4 linked regions of the Caenorhabditis elegans genome follow. The protein of the gene in region 1 interacts with the protein of each later gene in a biochemical or structural test. Each region holds a gene or a part of one and is shown in the gene's direction. Other genes may lie near its edges. The genes, in order: goa-1, rgs-1, rgs-7 and ags-3.

Region 1 (6,699 bases):
AATTCCAAACTAATAGTAAAATATTTCAAGTTAAGGTTTTATTTCTGCGTAATCCACTATTTTTATCTTTTCTTGATTTTCCCTTTCATACTTTCACTCATTGTTTATTATTCGTGTCCCCTCGTCTCCGTTCTTCGACTGGAAAATCTGTAAGAGGGTCCAGCTGTGGTCTCCGGTGTACGGCACTCAACATGTCTCCTTGTGTATCGCTGCCAGTGCTGTCTATGCATTTATTATGAAAATAAAACAATTAGGCACATGGAAAAAGGCTTTATGTTCCTATAGCTTTTGGTTCACGGAGACCTAGTCTACGGCGCTGTTCGTCGATTGAAACTTAAATTTTAAATAGTAGTTTTCGGCATCATAAAGTCGCTATTAAGGCTGTCAGACAATTTAAGTTTTTATGCAATATTTTAAGATTTTAACTCAAACGCCGCCTGTGATCAGATAACTCCGACTACTAGAATATCTGCATGGTTCTGATCCTCATCATGATTTAAAATTCGAATCGACACGCAACGCAAGTAGCCGCCGACCCTCGTCTTCACTGTCGCTGCCCCCTGAACGATGGGGCTCTCCTGTTTCGGCTACTGGCTGCCCCTGGCTACTACTACCCCTTTTCTGCTATGCCCATGACCTTCTTCTTCTCCTCGCCCTCGCTTTTCTCTCTATTTTCCTTCTCCAACCCCACCATCCTGCTCGCCGTCGTCGTCGCAGTTGCTCCCCCATTTTTTTGCGCCACGCAAAAAAAAAAGAAAAAGAAGGACGACGACGACAACGAAGAAAGAGAAGAAGCAGAAGCAGTGAAAACGGAAAAATCGAAGACGTTGTCGTCTATTTTTTTGCTTCTGTTCTTTACAAATTATCTATTTTCTAACCTTTTTGTGGAGAACGTTGACCCGGCCGGAAGCATGTAGTAAAATTTCTTTTTGGTTGATTTTGCAAAACATGTTTATCCTCGATTAGCTGATTTTCATTTCGATTTCAGATTAAACCAATTGATTCTAAAATAGAAAACTGAATGAACAATCTCTGATCATTCTTGAAATATAACTAATTTAGTTCATCTGCAAGTTTAACAGTTAGTACATTTTTCTGTCGTAGATCAAGAAAAATTTCACCTTCGAATTTAGTACTCAAACATTGCAGGGATTCGAACATGCAAACGTTTTAACAATTTCCCCACTGACGCTGCTCCAAAGAAATCTGAGAGAACGTCTGATTTGAAAAAATGTTTGCGCAAAAATTAGAAAGGCCCTGTTTAGAGTATTGTAGGTTGCATATTTCTACCACTAAAATAAATTAATGAAAAAGTAAGAAAATTCAATAAAAATTAGTCGCCTTGACGACGTGCACCCTCTATTTTCCTCATTCGTCATTTTTGTCATCTCCTCTCATCTCATCTATATTCTGCCCTCGATCCCTCATCCATCCATTTCTTCATTCTCCATCTCACTGTGTCCCTTTTTTTCGCTCGATTGCTTTTTCTTTTCCTTATTTTTTAACCCGCTATAACTTACTTCGATTCTAATTTTTTCAATTTATTTTCAGCGCTGAGCTGCACCACATACAGTGAGTGAGTAGAGGATATCAAGTGGAGACCGCTACCGGGGCATAGGGTCCACCGTTCATCAACTCTAGCGCCATGGGTTGTACCATGTCACAGGAAGAGCGTGCCGCTCTTGAAAGATCACGAATGATTGAGAAAAATCTTAAAGAAGACGGCATGCAAGCGGCAAAAGATATCAAACTGCTGCTACTTGGTGCAGGAGAATCAGGAAAATCGACTATTGTAAAACAGATGAAGTGAGATTTTTTTAAATTTCTAAATAACAAATTAAAACATATATAAACGAAAATGGTAGAAATAAATGGTGAAAAACTCAGAATTTATCATCCGAAATTGTCCCATAGAACGTCCGAATATTTCGTTTGATCGATTTGAATTATTAAAAATTAAATTTAATTAAAAAGTAAATAAATCACTAGAGACTGCTATTAATTTTTTTTTCGTATTCAAAATTTGAAAAGTAAGTTCAACTCTCTAATAGTTTAAATTTGAAACACGCCTTTACAAATTTTCACATTTTAATGTTTTTTTTTCAGAATTATTCACGAATCGGGATTCACAGCAGAAGACTACAAACAGTACAAGCCGGTTGTCTACAGTAACACGGTTCAATCATTGGTCGCTATTTTGCGAGCCATGAGCAACTTAGGCGTTTCATTTGGTTCGGCTGACAGAGAGGTGAGTATTATGACAATTTTTCTGCAAAAAAATCGAAATTATTTAAAAATGAGGCACGAAATTTTCAAGTGATCCCTTAATGGAAAAAATTAATTTCGGTCCATTAGCTGCTAATGATTAGCACGACAAAAACGTTACTTCAAAATAAAACTTATTTTTCTGAAATTTACTTGCGATTGTGATCTATAGATAGAACATAAACATTATTCAATTAAAAATGTTTCCCGTGTTCTGAAGAGTAATTCGAAATATTTGGAAAATAACGAATAAAAAGATACGAAAAACGAAGAGCATGAGAATAAATGACATAATCTGTTGTATTCATTGGCTCGGTATCTTTTTCTCTCTCTCTCTCTTACATTCTGCAACTCTTATTGCCTCTCGTTGCACTCAATGCATCCCGCTACCACACCACCGTCCCATTCCAATTCCCTTGTGAGTTTCGATGCGCGACGCGCCACCGACAAACTCGTAGACTCGACCTAGTATTCCAAAAATATATGTTCGAGGCAGGAATTTTGAATTGGGATTTGGAAGGGATTCTAGAATGTTGGAAAATCTTTGGGAACACATTTTCGATTGATGTGGCAAATCATCAGAAAAAAATGTTCCCAACGTTTTGGAGAAGATTTTACATCATTCAGACGTCAAATGTTTTGTTATTGCGTCACAAATGCAATTCCCGGTTTTTATACGATGAATTTGTGTTCAATGCAAGAAGGTGTGCGCCTTTAAAGAGTACTGTAATGTTTAATTTTCGTTGCAGCCAAATTTTTAATCGATTTTTCATAGTTATTCAATAAAAACGTATTCATTTATTTTAAAAATTAATAAATAACAATCAAATATTTACGAATTAACTTTAACAAATCGTAAGAATAAATATAAACATATTTTAGCATTCAACAAAAATTTGTCGTGTCGAAAACGTAAAAAAGTTTTTGATGTGAAGATCGAACATTTATCATTCAATTTTATATATATCCTTAATCTTAACAAGACGTGACTATGCATGTCACCGAATATAAAGTAATTTGAGATAATTGAAATAAAATGACCATTTTGAGACCTTTGGACAAACCATTGGAAGAGAGCCAAGGATCCAATTTCAATTTTGTGAGAAAATTGGGAAAATGATGTACATGACATGCTGTGAATTATTCAATTTTCATCAGCGAATAAAGTTATCGAGAACTAAAATCAAAGTTTTTTGTTTCAGGTAGATGCAAAATTAGTGATGGATGTGGTGGCACGAATGGAGGACACAGAGCCATTCTCAGAAGAATTGCTCAGTTCAATGAAACGGTTGTGGGGAGACGCAGGTGTACAGGATTGTTTCTCAAGGAGTAACGAGTATCAATTGAATGATTCAGCCAAATAGTAAGTTTAATTCAAAATTTTGAAAAATTATTTCAAGTAACTATTATCTCCATAACAACCAAAGTGGTTTTTTTCATAAATTGAGAAGAGTTTCCTAAATTTCGAATCAATATGTTACATGTCAAGCTCATTTTCAATATTACCAAATTTAAAATTTCAAGAAATTTCGCAGTTTATAGAATTTATTAATAACCATTTTTTCAGTTTCCTTGACGACCTGGAAAGGTTAGGAGAGGCAATATATCAACCAACTGAGCAAGATATTCTCCGAACTCGTGTCAAAACAACTGGTATTGTTGAAGTTCACTTCACATTCAAAAATCTCAATTTCAAGTGAGTTTTCTTGATAAAAAAATAATATTTAATAATGAATATTTACAGATTGTTCGATGTGGGAGGTCAAAGATCAGAAAGGAAGAAGTGGATTCATTGTTTCGAAGATGTTACTGCTATTATTTTCTGTGTTGCCATGTCAGAGTATGATCAAGTGTTGCACGAAGATGAGACAACAGTGAGAAATTGATATTTTAATATTTTAGAAGCTTTTTTGTTGAAAAAGACAGACAAAATTTAAAATTAGAAAATATCGTTTAGAGACTTTATGTTTTTTAAACGATTTTCCAATCATGACTTGGTCGTTCGAGTCGACTTTTACAATAATAAAAATAATGTTCTTCTTCTAATTTTTCTAACGAAAATGCAACTTCTGACCGACAATATATTTGCCAAAATAAAAGAAACATGATAATTTAAAAATTACTCGTTTTTTTAAATTATATTCTATTATTCATTCTATTATTCATTATTCATTATTATTCATTATTGTTCCTTATTTCATATTTTCAGAACCGAATGCACGAATCGCTGAAGCTGTTCGATTCGATCTGTAATAACAAATGGTTCACAGATACATCGATTATTCTGTTCCTGAACAAGAAGGATCTGTTTGAAGAGAAAATCAAGAAAAGCCCGTTAACGATCTGCTTCCCAGAATATTCAGGTAAAATTTAATTGAATTTCCAATAAATGTTTTAATTTCTTAATCCCTGTAGGACGACAAGACTACCACGAGGCATCTGCGTATATTCAAGCACAATTTGAGGCTAAAAACAAATCAGCGAATAAGGTAAGAAAAAAAAGTCTAAAAATCAATGAAATCAGAGAAGCCTATGGGGTTCCTGTTCCACGAAAAGTATAAATTGTTTTTCTAGAATAATATTTTTTATAATTTTTAATATCTAGTTAATTTTGGAAATTTTTTGAAGTGTGAAACATTTATAAAATTTAATTTTTTTTAAGTAAACACGAATATTCAATTGTTTTGTTAATCTGTCACAGAAAATGATAACCAGAAAAATCTCTGAATCGTATTCAATTAAGTAATTACAACCAAAATTTGAGATTTTTACTATCTCGACATTTTCTCCGATATTGCGGTTACTGTAGTTTCATATTTGAATAGGTAGTTAAAGTTGAGTGTTGAGGTAATAATTTTAATTCATTATTTCATTTAATTTGTTTTCTTTTGAAATAATATTCTTATTTGCAGGAAATCTATTGCCACATGACATGTGCCACAGACACAACTAACATTCAATTTGTGTTTGACGCTGTCACCGATGTGATTATTGCCAATAATCTTCGTGGATGCGGCTTGTATTAAGCTGTCGTCTTCGCCGCCCTCTTCTACCATTCTGTGTGTATCTTTGCTTACTTTTCCCAAATTTTTAAAGATTCGTTATTTTTCTCATCCCCCGAGTATGCATCTATAATTTGAGAGCTTTACATGTACATTATGGTTGCAACTGTTTTTATTTTTTGGAAAAAGTTGCAATTTCAGATGTATATGGGCTTTTTTTTAACCTCTGATTCATTCATAATAGTCTCACCGCCCTTCTTTTTCTCAACTAGGATCCCTAATTTTTCTGTCACAAAAATAACACATAAAACTCACAATTATTTATTTTTTCCTTTTTTCTTATTTATTATATATTGTCATTATTCACGCCACATCCCCCGCCCTTCTCACTCCCGTGTAGCCTTATCGCTATTTGAAAACAAGAAAACTTTAAAAATCTAAATTCAGTTGGAATTCGTCCCGTTCCGCCACACACCCCCTAAAGGTCTCTTCACCCCGAATTATAAAGCTTTGCCCCTTTTTTCTTTCTTTTCTCCCATTTTTCAACACACCTAGTCACTGTTAACAGTTAAATAATGGCAGCTTTTGTCTATGTTTAAAGATTTTATTTTTAATTTTTGGTATTTTTCTATTTCTACTCTTCCCCTCTCATCCATTTTCCCTCCTTTTCCTAAAACCACACTTCCAAACTCATTTTTCTCGCTGTTTTCCTCTCCCTATTTTTTCTTTTACTTTTTCATTTTTCCATCTTTTTTCTTTAAAATCGTCTCGCTTTTTGTCGGTGAGCACGATGGTGTGCAGTAGACGATATTTTCCGCATTGGTTTATTGTCGACTGCACCCACTCATTGATATCTTATTTGATATAAACGACATCCTCAACTAGTTTTCGTACAAATTCAGTTTGGTGGATACAAAAGTACAGTGATTTAGTTTGCATGGGAAATTGCATATGGGACTACCGTACATATGTCTAGATAAAAAACCAATATTTTTAAAACTCGATAAAATTTAAATTTCCCTGAACTCCTTTTTGAATAACCACCAAGAAGTTTAAACCTCGCGCGCGAATTTAAAATTTAATTGTTATTTTGAATTATTAGCATGGTTTAAAACAATTTCCCCATCATTACCAAGATTTAAAAAAATCAAAACCTATTGTTATAACATCAAAAGTGGGAAACCCCAAAAATAGTCTTCAGATAATGATTTTCTCAAGATAAATGACCCGGAAGTGAGTGTTACTAAAGCGAAAAACCTTCCAAATGTCAAGTTTCATTAAATTTTACAACAATCATCTAAAAATGTGTCCTTTTTGTCACACAATTGTGTTCATTTTCCATCAGCTTTTCCCTCCTCCTCCCACTATGTGATAAACTTTCACTTTTTCTGTTCATTTGCCAAAAAAAAGAGAATATCTCATACACTTTCCT
Region 2 (4,210 bases), on another chromosome or scaffold:
TCAAGAGTTTTCAAAACTATGTCATGACGTATATCGAATTACTCGCCCGATTTTGTCGAGCCACCAAGAGAGAGAGAGACTTAATCGAATTTGAACATTCGATTTCATGAATTTTCAACGTTTGTTATGAAGTCATATTTTGTTTTTTTCATAGAGTTGTGAATTAGATTAGAATGCTAGAAAGTGAAAAAAAAGTTATGTTGAGAATCAGAGCCAAATATATTTCAATTTCCTGTAAAAATACAATAACACTTCTCAGTACACTGCAAAATCCAACTTCGCCCATATGTTTAAACTGTTATTAGAAATATTTCTCATTCATAATGTAAGATTTGTTCAAGCTTATATTCATAGAAGCTTCCAGTTTACAAACTTCTGCTAAAATCTGGAAAATAGGGGCCTATACAGACTAAAAGCCTGGGCGGCAATTGGAAAAAAAATATCCGGCAAGTACCAAAATGATCGATTGCCAGATATTTTGGCATTTTTCAAAAACCGATCTGCTTTTAAAAAAAATATCAAAAAATAGTTCACTTTGTTTTTCAGTATTTGGAAAATGTTTTTTTTTAATCAAGAGGAAACCTTTGAAGTTTCATCCAGTTTGATTTCAAAATTCGTTTTTTTTTTCGGAGGCTTTTTCTGGGAGAGAGAAGTAAAATACAAAATTTGCTTTTTAATTATAAAGCATAATGTAACTTTGCGCACTGGTTCACCAAAAATTCATGCAAAAAGTACATTAAAAACGTACATAGAAGATTTCAGTTCAGTTATACATTAGAAATACTTATAGAAATACTTTCTCAAAAAGTGTGAACTTTTTGGAATCAAGTCTCAATACACCTACAATAGCCCAAAACGACCGTGTAAAGCAATCCAAAAATGTTAGGTTTTTCAAAATTTTGGCAACTTGCTAAACTTACCAAAAATTCACTTTTGAATGATTTTGAGACCACTTGAACGTTTAAATATGAACATAAAACGCGTAATTTTTTTTGACAATTTTAAAAAGTATAATATGTAGGTGAAAATTGCATTAGATCCTTAAATCCAAATTTTAAATTTTGAATTTAAAAAAGTTTTACTATGCTATTGCAAAACTTGAGCACTTTAGCAGAACCTTTAAACTAAAAATTGTAAGAACTGGAATTCAATTTGCAAGAAAATATGCTCAGAATCATTTTCAACTGTCTTTCGTGGCATAGCTATGCTCTCAATTTTCTAGAAATATTTCCCAATTGGTTCTCATTATCGACGTCTAATTACAAAACCTTGAAACCTTAAGACGCCTTTCCCCTCTTCATTGTCATTTGTTTGAAGCCGTCCTTCTCTTCTTTTTTCTTCCTTTTGTTCTCTTCTATGTCTGTGTGTGTGCTTTTACGTTGTTGCTCCTCGTGCGCACTCACACTCTCCTCACGAGTCCCCTCCACTCACACACATATTCATCTCTCTCTCTCTCTCTCACGTTTTCTCTTCCATCTCTCACCGTATTCCACATCGTCACGTCGCGACGTCGTCGTAGACGTCGACGTCTTATATATTTCTTCCTCTCCCTATTTCGAATCGATTCGCCTCTTCATCTCATCGTTGCTCTTGCTTCTTCCATTTCTTTTTTTTTTTAATTTTATTCATCTTCCTCTCATCCCCCCTATTTCATTTCGTTTCACTTTTCCCTTATACTTTCACCCCTTTCTTCTTTAAAAAAACCGAATTGTTCCTTGTTTCCGGCTGCGACGTGTTGCCGCCAGCCCATGGGATATATGGGTTGCTGGTGCTCAAATCTCGGACGAAAATACAGTGGAACTGTCTCCCCACAAAGATCCGTCCAACCAGAAGCTCTCAGCTACGAAATGGTATATTCATGGCAACAATCATTCGACACACTGATGAGCTTCAAGTCTGGCCAGAAATGTTTTGCCGAATTTTTAAAAAGTGAGTATTCGGATGAGAACATCTTATTTTGGCAAGCCTGTGAAGAGCTGAAACGGGAAAAGAATTCTGAAAAAATGGAAGAAAAAGCACGTATCATCTATGAAGATTTCATCTCAATATTATCACCAAAAGAAGTTTCACTGGATTCAAAAGTTCGAGAAATTGTCAACACTAACATGTCCCGTCCAACACAGAATACATTCGAAGATGCTCAACATCAAATCTATCAGCTGATGGCAAGAGACAGTTATCCAAGATTCCTTACCTCCATTTTCTACAGGGAAACTCTAGCTTCTTTTGGAATAACTGAAATGGATATTGGTAACGTTTTTTAATTGTTAAAAAAATTAAAATTAAAGAATAATTTCAGGAGGAGACGAAGAGAAGGAACGAGAGCAAAGAGCGGAACGTGCACGTTTGAATGTTCCAGCTACAGCTGCAGAAGGAAGTTCAAAGGATATTAGTATGGTGAGTTTATAAAATTGTTTAAAACTGCTAAAATGCCCAAAAACCATAATAAAACTTTTCAAAAATTTTTTTTTCAATTTACAGCCAAAAGTTGTGAAAACACGGTCTGTTGTCATAATTTTAGAATTCGACCGAAAAAAGTTATTTCCTACGAATTTGATACGTATATTAATTTTGTTACAATTATTTGCAGTTAAGTCGAAGCTGCAGCAGTGCTCTAAATTACTTGAAAAACTGACACATTTTTGAAATTCTTTGGCAATTCACCAAAACTTCTATGGAAATATTTAAAAAATCTAAAAGTGTTTGGAATGGTTTATCAGTTTTTATATTCAGTCATTTTGGACACTGGCGAATTAAAATCCAGCGAAATTATATACACAATTTTAATTATAGGGTTTTCATTTTGAAAAAAACTGATACTGTAGACTAACATTAGCTAAAAAAACGAAAAGATCCAATTGAAAACTTTTCAAATTTTCTAAAAACTTTTGTTTAAAAAAGTGGAGTACATCTACATATTTTAGAAATTTGGAAGAAAAGAGTTAGTAATATTTTTTAGCTTAAAATTTGATGTTATTACTTTTTAAAATTTTGGCAAGACCTAATGAGATCTACAAAATTCAAGTAATAATTTCCATTTTATATTTTCAAAAGGAGTACGGTAGTTAGAATCTTCTGTCTCAAGCGAAGGATGTAATTTCTCCGCGGAGCAATCATAAAATCAATTTCAATCTATTAAATCACGGCGACTTACATCTGATTTCAGGTATAAAAATCTTCCTGCATCTACCCTCAATTATACATTAAACGGTGAGTAGGGTTTTTCTGAAGATTTTTGATGATTTCGTTTTTTTTTTCAGATACTCCAAAGAATCTCTATCAGCAAAATAGCAGATTGGAAACATGTAGTTATAAAAAAGGTATCAAATTGATTGAAAATATGTAAACGATTTTTTAAATATTCAGATCAGTGCAGCTTTAATTTTTTTTTTAAATCAAATTCATATGTGTAACTAATATGCAAAAGTACTTGTTTCTCCAAAAAAAACAAAAGTAAAAGTAAAAAGCAAACGGACAACTGAAAAATTGAAATGTTAGATTTTCAGTTTTTAGGGGGAAAATAGGCTTTTAAAAAAGTATTTTCAGATTTCTACCGCCGTAATAGCAGTTCAATATTTTATGCAAAAATTTATCCAAATCGCCAGAACTTCTTCCTCCAACTCATTCAATTCAACTTGTGATAAACTAACTTTGATCTCCGATGCTGCTTATTGCATTTGCCAATCTTAGATCTATTTTGATCAGTGTCATTCATTTTATGATTTGCAATTTCAGAGACTTTTTCTCTTATCCTACTATATTCTCAATCATCATCTGAACCTTTGTGATATTACTTTCAAGACATTCTATTTTTTCTTCTTTAATTCTCTGTTCAAATCAACACCCACCACATCCCTTTCACCCCCGTGACCATTCTTTTGTGAAATTGTCTTGAAATCTAGATGTCGGCTAGAGAAGGCATCTGTTATTTGTACTTTATCTTCCAGCCACTCAACATTTCTTCCGATCAAACCTATGTTTAAATTGTTCCCCCCATCATTGTCTCTTCTCTCCTTTCACTCGAATATATTGAACTTTTTTCTCGTAGATTTATTTCCGAGGGATATGTCGCTGTATAAACTGGTTTTTTTAAAACAATTTTCAACTTTTCTAGATTTGAAATTATTTATAGAATGGTTGGAGACAATAGTGTATGCGACTTTTATGTTAAAAAACCGGTATCTATATGTACATATATATTTCTAGAAAA
Region 3 (4,830 bases), on another chromosome or scaffold:
TTCTCTTCTCCCCCACGTTTTTTTTAAACTTCATCTGTTGCTCTGTTGACAATTATCCATATCATGTCACTAGGCCACATCCCCTTTCTTGATTTTCAATTTGTTTTTTTTTTCAATAATGCTCATCGTAGCTTAGTTGCCTGAACAGTCTTTCATTTGTCTTAAATTTGACTGATGGTGTCAGACAATTGAAGAAGTATCAATAAAGTTGAATCAACAGTAAAGGAAAGTCTCCAAGCTATTTGCCAAGGCCATAAATATCGCGTCCGCGATCGTGGGTCACGATGGCAGGTGTTGAGGGGGGAAAGACGCACATACACACATACAAACGCTAAATGGGTCCCCTCTCCTCAATTGCCGGTCAGAGGAGACAGCCAGGAAAGAAGGAAGACACAGACGAACACTCGCCGTTCTGTGTCTCTTCTCTCTACTCACGTTTGAATTGTTCACCGGCGGGAACGCTCATCATTCAAATTTGAAAAGCTATTTTATCTAATTTCTTAGCTTTTCAAGGTTTCAAACTAGTTTTTTCGTATGTAATTTTGTTCGTTATAAAATTGACCTCATCTGCAAGTGAGTCACTAGTAAAATTTACTTATCATTAAGGTGTGTTTATTTACGGACTATTGATTTTCCATAATTGGATTTCCGTCATCTGATCAAGGCCAGAAAAACTAGTAATCGAGAGTTGAAAACTTATTAGTCACGTTTCACTGGGTGTCTAGGTTAGGGAATGCGCTAAACAAGTAGTTCTGTAGAACGTTATCTGGCACAGTATTAATCACATATTATCTACAAGTAAAAAACATAATGGTTCCTTATCAGTAAGCCTAGACAATTAGATTATCATACAAAATTACTTATATTCCGTCTGCAAAGTTCTGCGTTTTTCCCAACCACTAAATCACCAAAAAATCTAAAACTTTCGGCCATATTTTTCATTGAAACCATCTGGCAGTGAGTCGAATGTTATAAGTTCAGTCTTTTTTTTTCTATTTTTTCTGTCTCTAAGAATGTAAACTCTAGATGTTGTCAGTAAAGATTTTATGGTTTCGATTTGTAACCTAAATATTACGCAACCACCTATCGACACCGACAAACGGAGTAGCGGTTGTTCGCACCATAAATTTTGTCAACTACTCCTTGTAACTTCCTTTCCTTCACCTTCACTTGTATTTGATCTCATAAACTTGCGGGTCATTTGCTATTTAGTTCTGCCTTACTACATGGATTTCTTTCGGAAATGGTTTTTTGTTCCGGATATTTTTTGTTTCATTAAAAGAGTACATTCGATTTTATAATATTTTTTAAAACTAGAAAACAATTTATTGTTCTGAATTTCAAAAAAAGCTATGATTTCCTGACTAAAATCTTGGGGCTTTTCGAAGTTTTCTCTTTTCCAACGGCTGGTAAATTTATTTAAAATTAATTTGGTTATCCATATTTTGCACTTTCTCGTAATTAATTCTTTTTTCTGTTAAAGGCCATACATTTTGATAAATTTAACTCAACTTTTTTTAAAGACGGTACTTTTCTATTAAGTTTTTTATAGCTAACTTCATTTGAAATCTACAAAATTGAAGTATTATAGTTCTTAGTGTTTTAGAATAAATTGTTTGTTTTTATTCTTTTTCGGAACAAGTAAAATTTCCTCATACATAAAATAGTGTTTCAGTCAATCAATAACATAAGATGGATTAGTTTCTATGCTGAGCCGTATAACCCTAGCCTAAAATGACACAACGTTTTCTCCTTCGTTGCCGTTTATGAATCATTTTTCTCTCTCAATTCTCCTTCTATTGCTGTTCCAATTAGTATAGTTTCACTCAGATGGAAAGTCAAAATCGAAGAATCAAGCTCAATCTACACAAATATAAAACGGCCGGAGTCCAGCAGTACAGCATTGACAAGATGTCAGACGAGGATGCAGACGAGTATGACGATCAATCATCGAGTAAGTTGCTTTGTTGCAAACCTGAATGCTCCAGATGTTTGCTATTGTTATTATGACTATATATCTGATTTTTTCCAGTATCGTCAGTGTCGGACGACGACGACTTCTCAGGCTCCGAGTCGGAAAGCTATCAGGACACGACTGAATCCACTGGACCTTCGGAAGCTACAACTGACGAGATGCTGTGGGGAAGGTGAGTTCTTTTAAATGTTTTCAAAAGTTGATATTAGATACTTTTGAAAAAATGTGCTGAAAATTATAAAACGTATTTTAAAATCACGAGAGAAAAGTTTCAAAAAACGTGACAAGTTTGCTATCCTAAAAATTTTCTCAAACGAATTTCGAATACGTTTCACAAATTTCCGCACAATTGGTTTCTGTCACTTTTCAGAACTATTTTATTTATTTTTCGCTTGATAGGTTTTTGCTTCATAGTTCAGTATACTGTTGCTTTGCCCGGATCCCAGTTCATATTTGGTCGTTCTCAGAAAGTGTATTTTTTGAGTAATTTTTTAATTTCCCTTTTAAATCTAAAATTCCTCGAAATCGAAAACTACCAAAACTAATAGACCATAGAAGATTCTTTTCAAATTTTCATCCTCTGAAATTTTTATTTAATTCATCAATTTTAAAAGTTGCATTAGTACAAGTTTGATTAGTCCAATTGCTGATTTTTTCCTAATGGGAGACAGTTCAATTAAATGCGCTCTATTGTACACCTCGGTTCAAACAAACGAGGCATGTATGTGTTGACCATGCACACTACATACTGGTTAGCCTCTGGTGTACGAACGAACGCATTGCCCCATCCCAGTCGGCTGCTCTGTTACGCTGACCGTAAAATACTAGAGTTAGAAAGGAAGAAAGAAAGGACAATAGTGATTTGACAATCCGAACATTCTCAATTATATCAAATCTGGTTCGAATGATCAAAAGAAGCAAAAATTAACAACATTGATTTTGTGAAGAATGTAGAAAGTACCCTTAGACACTTTTCTTCAAATATGCAAAAAAAAATTAAATTTTTGCGCCCAATAAGAACATTTATTTTCACATTTGAAATGACAGAAACGCGTAGTAGTATTTGAGTCGGTATCACTGACCTGATTCATCCACTTAAATGCCCATTTTCGTCGTCAAATGTTTGCTTAAAAATATCCGCGCCTTTTCAAGTGAATCAATTGAACTTCTCTCAAAGTTTTTCTTGTTTGGCGTGTATACAATGTCATGAACGCACAAGTTTTGGATTTCCGGCAATCGATCGATTGTTAAAGGCTACAATAGCATAGGTGATTATTAAACGAGTCCCTCTATAATTTCCACAAGATTTACGACAACCGTTCCGTTAATGTGACCAATCGAAGAAAACCAAAATATCCTGTATTTTCTGTAGACGTTTTATGATTTAGAGGTTTCTGTTTTAGTTTCTGTTCTTAACATTCTAATTGGTCACCGATATCTCTGTCATTTTCTGATACTATGAGTTTTGAATTTTTATACTAATAATTAAATGTTTCTAAAATTTCTCTTACAAAATTTTTACTTTGCCCATCCGACATTTCCCCAGTAATATGTATAGTTTTGAGTATGTTCGCATAATTGCAAATTACGTTGGATGTCGAGTTACCGTGGTTTGATTTTCAGTTGCGCAACGCCACGAATAGCCCTCTACCCCCGTGGCTGCTGGAACGTCAGGGGCACTAAAACTTGCGCAAAAACTTGTTGCGTATCACATTTGATGCTCTGCATTGATGTGTGTTATAATAATTTGTACATCATCATCACCAGATGACGCCTAGACTCGACGCTGCCTAGAGACTTCCAGGTTGATAAGCAAAACAGTGTTTTGTAGTGCTTAAAGTGAAAAACTACGTAACAATAATTCAGAATTTTGATAATCCGGCATATATATGTAACTTTAAAATGTTGTGAATAGTTTTATAACCAAACATCATAAATACTCTAAAACGTTCATAAAAATATCAAATTTTTTAGGGAAACGTTTTGCAGTTGGCCAACTTTTTTGAAATATTAAGGCCTTTTGAGCAATTCTGCATGTGCGAAACCTTAAACTATTGGAATATAATACAAATATTTCACAAAAACGCTCAGAGAACATTTGTATTTGCTAGGAGAAGTTGACAAATTTGTAATTGCCACATAATTTTTTTTTAAATTTACCTTGGTGTTTGATATTTTTCATACTATATAAGTAATTTTCAAAATTCCCTATTGAAGATTTTGCACTGGAAAATGTATTTCATGCTATTTCTTCTCAAATCAAATCTATTATAATATGCCGAGTGAAGAGAGCAACTATCTCAGTTACGCAAAAAGTCGTCTCAAATTCTCTCAAAGTTTATTTTTGAAACCACACACACTCACAAACCTTAATTGGAAAATAGCCTATTAAACATTATCCACCCATTAGTGTCCAATTGCACTTTCCTGTCTTTTCACCCCATCTCGTCACACGCTCTACCTTCCAGCTATAATCCCCCTACTGAAATTGACGGTTGTCAGCAGGATACTGTCCAAACAAAATTGTTTTCACTCCCTAATTAGCTCATCTTTTCTGTACTTAGCGAACACGTGTCATTTGCAATGTGCTGAGAATGTGCATTGATACTCTCTCCTCTCGTCTCTGTCATGCTCCTAACTCCGCCCCTTTAGAGCCATCCCAGAGTTTTGCCTTTGGGAACAGTTCTCGTTTGTATTTCTATCAATCTTACAACCGTTTTTCCTTCAGTAACTAATCCTGTTTATTATGACGTATACTGTAAGAACCAAAACCAAAGGTCTCGAAGCTCTGATGTGAGTTTACAATTCAAATTTTTTAAACCTACTACACAAATTTCTCTATCAATTTATATTTC
Region 4 (4,646 bases), on another chromosome or scaffold:
AAACTTTTGCATGTTCTCTTATTCTCCAAACTCACTTTGAAAACTTTGATGTCTCAGTCAATTACATAAAAAATAAAAATAGTACCTTAGAGACATTTTTGGATTAAAGTTGAACCAAGAGTTTAGTCAGTTTCTTCAAAAAAAAACCCCCCTATCTTACCTCTGCATTATTTGTTTGCGGAGCTGCAGTTTTCGGACGATCGTATTTCGTTGGAACATTCAAAACTTCTACTATTTCTCCGCCAATACTTTCCTGGAAATAAGATTAGATAGACACATAAACCACAGAAATCTTGCAAAATCGGGAACGCAGGATAAAAATAATTTGGATTAGTAAACTTTGAAATATGATATTAAACTGTTACATGTTTTGTCTGTTGAAATAGGAGAGGTGTGTCAATTTCGTGTAGCAAAGTAGTTTAGAAAAAGGTGTGAGTAAATACATATGACACACGTTTTTTCTGCTTTGATCCTACCACTTGATCTTGCTGGAAGTAGTTTGCAAAAAAGTGAATTACTGTTTATTCTCTCTGCAACAATGGTGAAAAAAATGATTCGCGGAGCTTGGTCGAATTTGTTCTCTGATTCCAGGAGGTATAGGAAAGTAATTAAAATTATAAGTTCAAATTTTATGCAGTTAACGTATTTAATAAATTAAAAATGGTGATTATTTCTATCAGTATCGTTAAGCGTTTGTAAATATGTTACCATACGCAGCACTGTAGAAAATCATCACAGTTTCGGCAATTCTAATTTTTGACAATCAGCATTTTTAATCAAAAAATGCTTGGCAATCGACAATTGGGTAATATCAAACAGCGATTGCCGTAACTACAAATACATTTGAATGAAATTTTGCTATTATAATTCAGTGAGAGATTACATAAACTGCCATATGTTAGCAGAGGTATCTGATACATTTAAAAGTTTGATGTTGATAATGCACAAATAGTTTTTTTTTCATTATTAAACAGCTATCTGGAAAAAGATCACTAAAAACTTCAAGAATTCCAAAATATATTTTTGCCGTTTCGCGTTTTTTTTTCTATTCAACATTCAACTCAACAATCACGCAACTCACAATGTGCGTTTCCAATTTATTGTATCTTTTGGAAACAATGTCAATTGTTCTTTTAAGCACTGCCACCTCGGTATGCATCAACTCAATTTCCTTCCTTTTCTTTTTTTGTTCTTCACTTTTCACACGGTATTGCTCTAAATATTTTCGGTACTGAAAAAATAGTATTATACTGTTACAAATTATTTCGCCTCACCTGAACATTTGACACAACTTCCCCGCCCACTTTGTCTTTGAGATTGGTTTTACGCTCATCGACATCTTTCTCAATTTTCGCAAGTTCTTGCCTGAAAGTCACGTCCATTTGGTCGCAAATACGGTAGCTTCTAATTTCCTCAACTCTTGCAGTTTTTTGCAAACTTTCTAAGAATAAAGTGGTTTCGCTAATCTTTTTTTTGAGGAAATTGAGAAATGGGGTCAATCAAATGTTGAAATCCCATCACTTTTCTCGCTTTTTCCCATTTTCAATTTCCTACTCCCAGTGGAATAAATAGGACGTTTTGGAAAAAAAAAGCCGAAAAGAGAAGAAGCCCATCTACACTCACTTACCTCAATTCTTGCAATTTCTGCACCGCTGTTTCTTTTTTGCGTTCGAGAAGGGAAGTTTGATGACGAAACACACTGAAAACACCTCATATGTTTTTTTGAAAAAAGGTCAGTTTTGGGAAAATATAAAAAAAGATATTCTAATGTTTTACGTATAGGAAAAATACGATAAACGCAATTTCACAAGTTTTAAGTTCATCACCTGGTTTTGCTTGAAATGCTCTAGAAATGCCGAGTTAAAAAAAAACAAGTGACAAAAAACTAGGAAGTTAAATACCTTGGATCTATATTGAGCGTATTAAAGAGGGATTACCGTCAGTGGGTATTTGTTTAAACATTACCCAAATAAATTTAAAATTACCAAATATCATAGTGGAAGTATTCTAAAAAGGACAATTTTCCGAGCAGTCAAAAAATGGTAAAAACTCCGTCCTAATAATGAAAGTCAACAAAAATTTGTTCCACAGTTTTCAAATTTTAGTTATAATTCAGAAAATTTTTAAAAATCTTTTTTTTAGTTTTGAGAGTATTATGCTCATATTCGGTCATGTTAATTATGTGTCTTAAGACGAAATCCGCAATAAAGATACACTACTTTCATTATTTTTAATAATGATAAAAAAATTTAAAGTTTTTTGTCGAAGCATCCCTTACAAATTCATTTTCTTTTCTAAATAAATATCTAACACTCATAGAAGAATACGCAGATTGTGTCTCTTAGCAGCAACCATCATCATCCACATGTTTTTAAACCGAGTGATGCCACTGTCCGCTTTTAGATTTGCCTTTCCTTGTTCATTAGCAACCAGACCAGATTTCATATTTTTTGCACAAAGAACACAACAACAAATTTGAAATTTTCAGCAAGCACAATTTTAAAACATCTAGACCAAAATGAGCATGCACTTACCTCATGTTCTCATCAATATCCACTTCTTTGTGATCCCGTTCGTCTTCTAGTTTTCGAATTCGTTTTGACATTTCCTCTATCTGAATGATGAATTTAAAAATAACTCTTTCATGCTTTGATCAGCCATGTTTAAGATGACTTGGGAGTAAACAATTAACATATTTTTGGTCAGACGAAAATTGGAAAATTTTTTCGTCTCTCTGACGTCTGAAGCCATTGTTTCGCTCTTTGGCTCTGTTATTTGTTTTTGCCCACGTTTGAAAAAAGCTTTTGAATAGCTTTTAACTCTTAAAACATACAACTTTTTTCTGTAATTACATCATTTAATTTTGTAATCACCTTGGAAATAAGTGAAAAGTGCAGCCACGTTTAAGCTGGGCGACAATTTTATTTTGGATGTTTTTTTTTGTTAAATTTGGTATACATTTTCAAAAATAGCAAAATCATTCTAGCAGTTTTTTAACATCAATGTAGTTTTTATTCCCGCTAATTTTTGTTTACAAAAAATTTGAATTTCCTATCAAAATTTTTTTCAGAAAAACTTTATTGCCAAGTTTGTTTTCCTAGAAAATTTGAAAATCCCACAGAAAAAAATTCCCGAGAAAATTTTAATTTCCGCGAAAAAATTTTTCGGAATACTTAAATTTTTCGCCAAATTTTTTTCCCAGAAAATTTGAAGTTCCCGCTAAAACTTTTAATTTTCGCTAACAACTTGCTTTCGAAATTTTGTATTTCGGGCAACGTATCTGTGTAGTAGCCGTGCTCCAATAGCATTAATTCCTTTTTTAATGGTAATTTAATTAAAACGTGAGGTCAGTGTTGCATATATACTGTCGGCTGCACATTTATCATAAAATTCCCCAAAGTTAAATCTGCAGAGATCTTTAAGCCTGGTATCTTTAAGCTTACCTCAGAATTCATTCTACTGACATCCTCTTCCCGCACTGAATTGGACCTTGCCATGGCTGTCAGCTCTTTCAACTTGTTTTCCTTTGATTCAATTTCTTGAAACAACTTGCCATTCACTAAGTAAGTGTTCGTCGCAACTTCGTCCTAAGAAACCCTCTGTCGTCATTAGATAGGAGAAGACGAGAAAAATAAGTCTAGTAACCTCTAATTTTTCCATTAACGCCTGTTCATCCAATGTGTCAGCGACCGCTTGAGCCTCCGTCAAATTGATTTTCATTCGGTTGATTCTGGCTTCGATGTTCAGGACCTAAACAGAAAAGAATTTCTGATTTTTGATGCTCGCTGCGCCAAAAAAACGCAGTAAGAAGGAAGAAGCCGCACACTCGAGAACAAAAAAATTGCACTCGCTATTTCTGTACTTCTTCTTTCATTTTTTGTCAGGAGAGCAAAAAAAAATTACGTCGGAGATAAAGAAAAAGGAAAATATTTCACTCGGTCTATTTTTGATTTTGAGATAAAAAAATGGAATTCCCAAAGAACCAACCTTCTGCCGTTCTTGTTGTTTTTCAATTGCAAAATCTGCATATCGGGTTTTCTCTCCGCGTAATTGTAATGCAAGTTGCATTTGTCTGAAAACGATTGGCTATTTTGAAAAATGCCAAAATTTATGTTTTATTTTTATACTAAATTCATTTTATTTTATTTTTTATTTTTATAATTTACGCTAAAGAACTCCCTTACTTACGTTTATATGAAAAACGGACAATTTTCCGCAAATTTCTATCTGCACTTGCATAGCGCTCGTTATTTAGCAAAAAGCTTGTAAATTTATTGTTTTCTACTTAATTATGATTGAAGCAGACTTTATCGTACTTGTAGTAAAAATATGAGCCTTATATTCAATTTTTTTGACAATGAGTCAAACCAGAGCTTAAAAGCAATACCGATACAGGCCAAAAGCTTTGCTCAAAAATTGCTTTAAAAATATATTAGCAATGTAAATGTGTTAGAAACTAACAAGAATGATCGGAAATATCCATCTTATCAGCTTATAAAGTTTACAGCTCTAAAGTTTCAAGTGAGCTGTTTTTTTACCTTCAATGTTTTGAAATATGTAAAATCAGGCAAAATACAAATTTCAAAAAAAAATCAAAAAAAATAAAGAAAAAAATCTGAGCTCATTTGCCGGGCTTTTTCAGTTTT

Evidence for each region.
Region 2: of the proteins of goa-1 (region 1) and rgs-1, one has a biochemical effect on the other in vitro, tested with the Caenorhabditis elegans proteins (one study listed by BioGRID).
Region 3: of the proteins of goa-1 (region 1) and rgs-7, one has a biochemical effect on the other in vitro, tested with the Caenorhabditis elegans proteins (2 studies listed by BioGRID).
Region 4: the proteins of goa-1 (region 1) and ags-3 form a complex in vitro, tested with the Caenorhabditis elegans proteins (one study listed by BioGRID).

Annotation. Positions count from the first base shown.
Region 1 is NC_003279.8:7,520,565-7,527,263, forward strand, and holds goa-1 (Guanine nucleotide-binding protein G(o) subunit alpha), read left to right. Parts: upstream 1-1,551; 5' UTR 1,552-1,645; coding exon 1,646-1,806; intron 1,807-2,106; coding exon 2,107-2,248; intron 2,249-3,467; coding exon 3,468-3,628; intron 3,629-3,832; coding exon 3,833-3,961; intron 3,962-4,009; coding exon 4,010-4,139; intron 4,140-4,474; coding exon 4,475-4,628; intron 4,629-4,680; coding exon 4,681-4,754; intron 4,755-5,177; coding exon 5,178-5,291; 3' UTR 5,292-6,148; downstream 6,149-6,699. UniProt on the Caenorhabditis elegans protein: Guanine nucleotide-binding proteins (G proteins) are involved as modulators or transducers in various transmembrane signaling systems. In the 1-cell embryo, probably together with gpa-16, controls nuclear rotation and spindle elongation during mitosis.
Region 2 is NC_003281.10:10,014,073-10,018,282, reverse strand, and holds rgs-1 (RGS domain-containing protein), read left to right. Parts: upstream 1-1,748; coding exon 1,749-2,250; intron 2,251-2,299; coding exon 2,300-2,397; intron 2,398-3,166; coding exon of another isoform or gene 3,167-3,172; exon of another isoform or gene 3,173-3,210; intron 3,211-3,260; exon of another isoform or gene 3,261-3,320; intron 3,321-3,546; coding exon 3,547-3,690; downstream 3,691-4,210. UniProt on the Caenorhabditis elegans protein: Inhibits G protein signaling in nervous system, interacting preferentially with the G(O) subfamily member goa-1. In vitro, protein acts as a GTPase activator of goa-1.
Region 3 is NC_003284.9:3,540,720-3,545,549, forward strand, and holds the start of rgs-7 (C2 domain-containing protein), read left to right. Parts: upstream 1-1,828; 5' UTR 1,829-1,911; coding exon 1,912-1,954; intron 1,955-2,032; coding exon 2,033-2,147; intron 2,148-4,686; exon of another isoform or gene 4,687-4,721; coding exon of another isoform or gene 4,722-4,768; intron 4,769-4,830. UniProt on the Caenorhabditis elegans protein: Inhibits signal transduction by increasing the GTPase activity of G protein alpha subunit egl-30 (G-alpha(q)), thereby driving it into its inactive GDP-bound form.
Region 4 is NC_003284.9:5,300,560-5,305,205, reverse strand, and holds the start of ags-3 (Tetratricopeptide repeat protein 28), read left to right. Parts: upstream 1-1,605; 5' UTR 1,606-1,627; coding exon of another isoform or gene 1,628-1,699; 5' UTR 1,700-1,732; intron 1,733-2,534; coding exon of another isoform or gene 2,535-2,614; intron 2,615-3,415; exon of another isoform or gene 3,416-3,436; intron 3,437-3,443; coding exon of another isoform or gene 3,444-3,587; intron 3,588-3,645; coding exon of another isoform or gene 3,646-3,750; intron 3,751-3,987; coding exon of another isoform or gene 3,988-4,072; intron 4,073-4,646. Other genes in the region: ift-81 (Intraflagellar transport protein 81 homolog), read right to left, coding at 161-253, 1,082-1,231, 1,275-1,365, 1,628-1,699, 2,535-2,614, 3,444-3,587, 3,646-3,750, 3,988-4,072.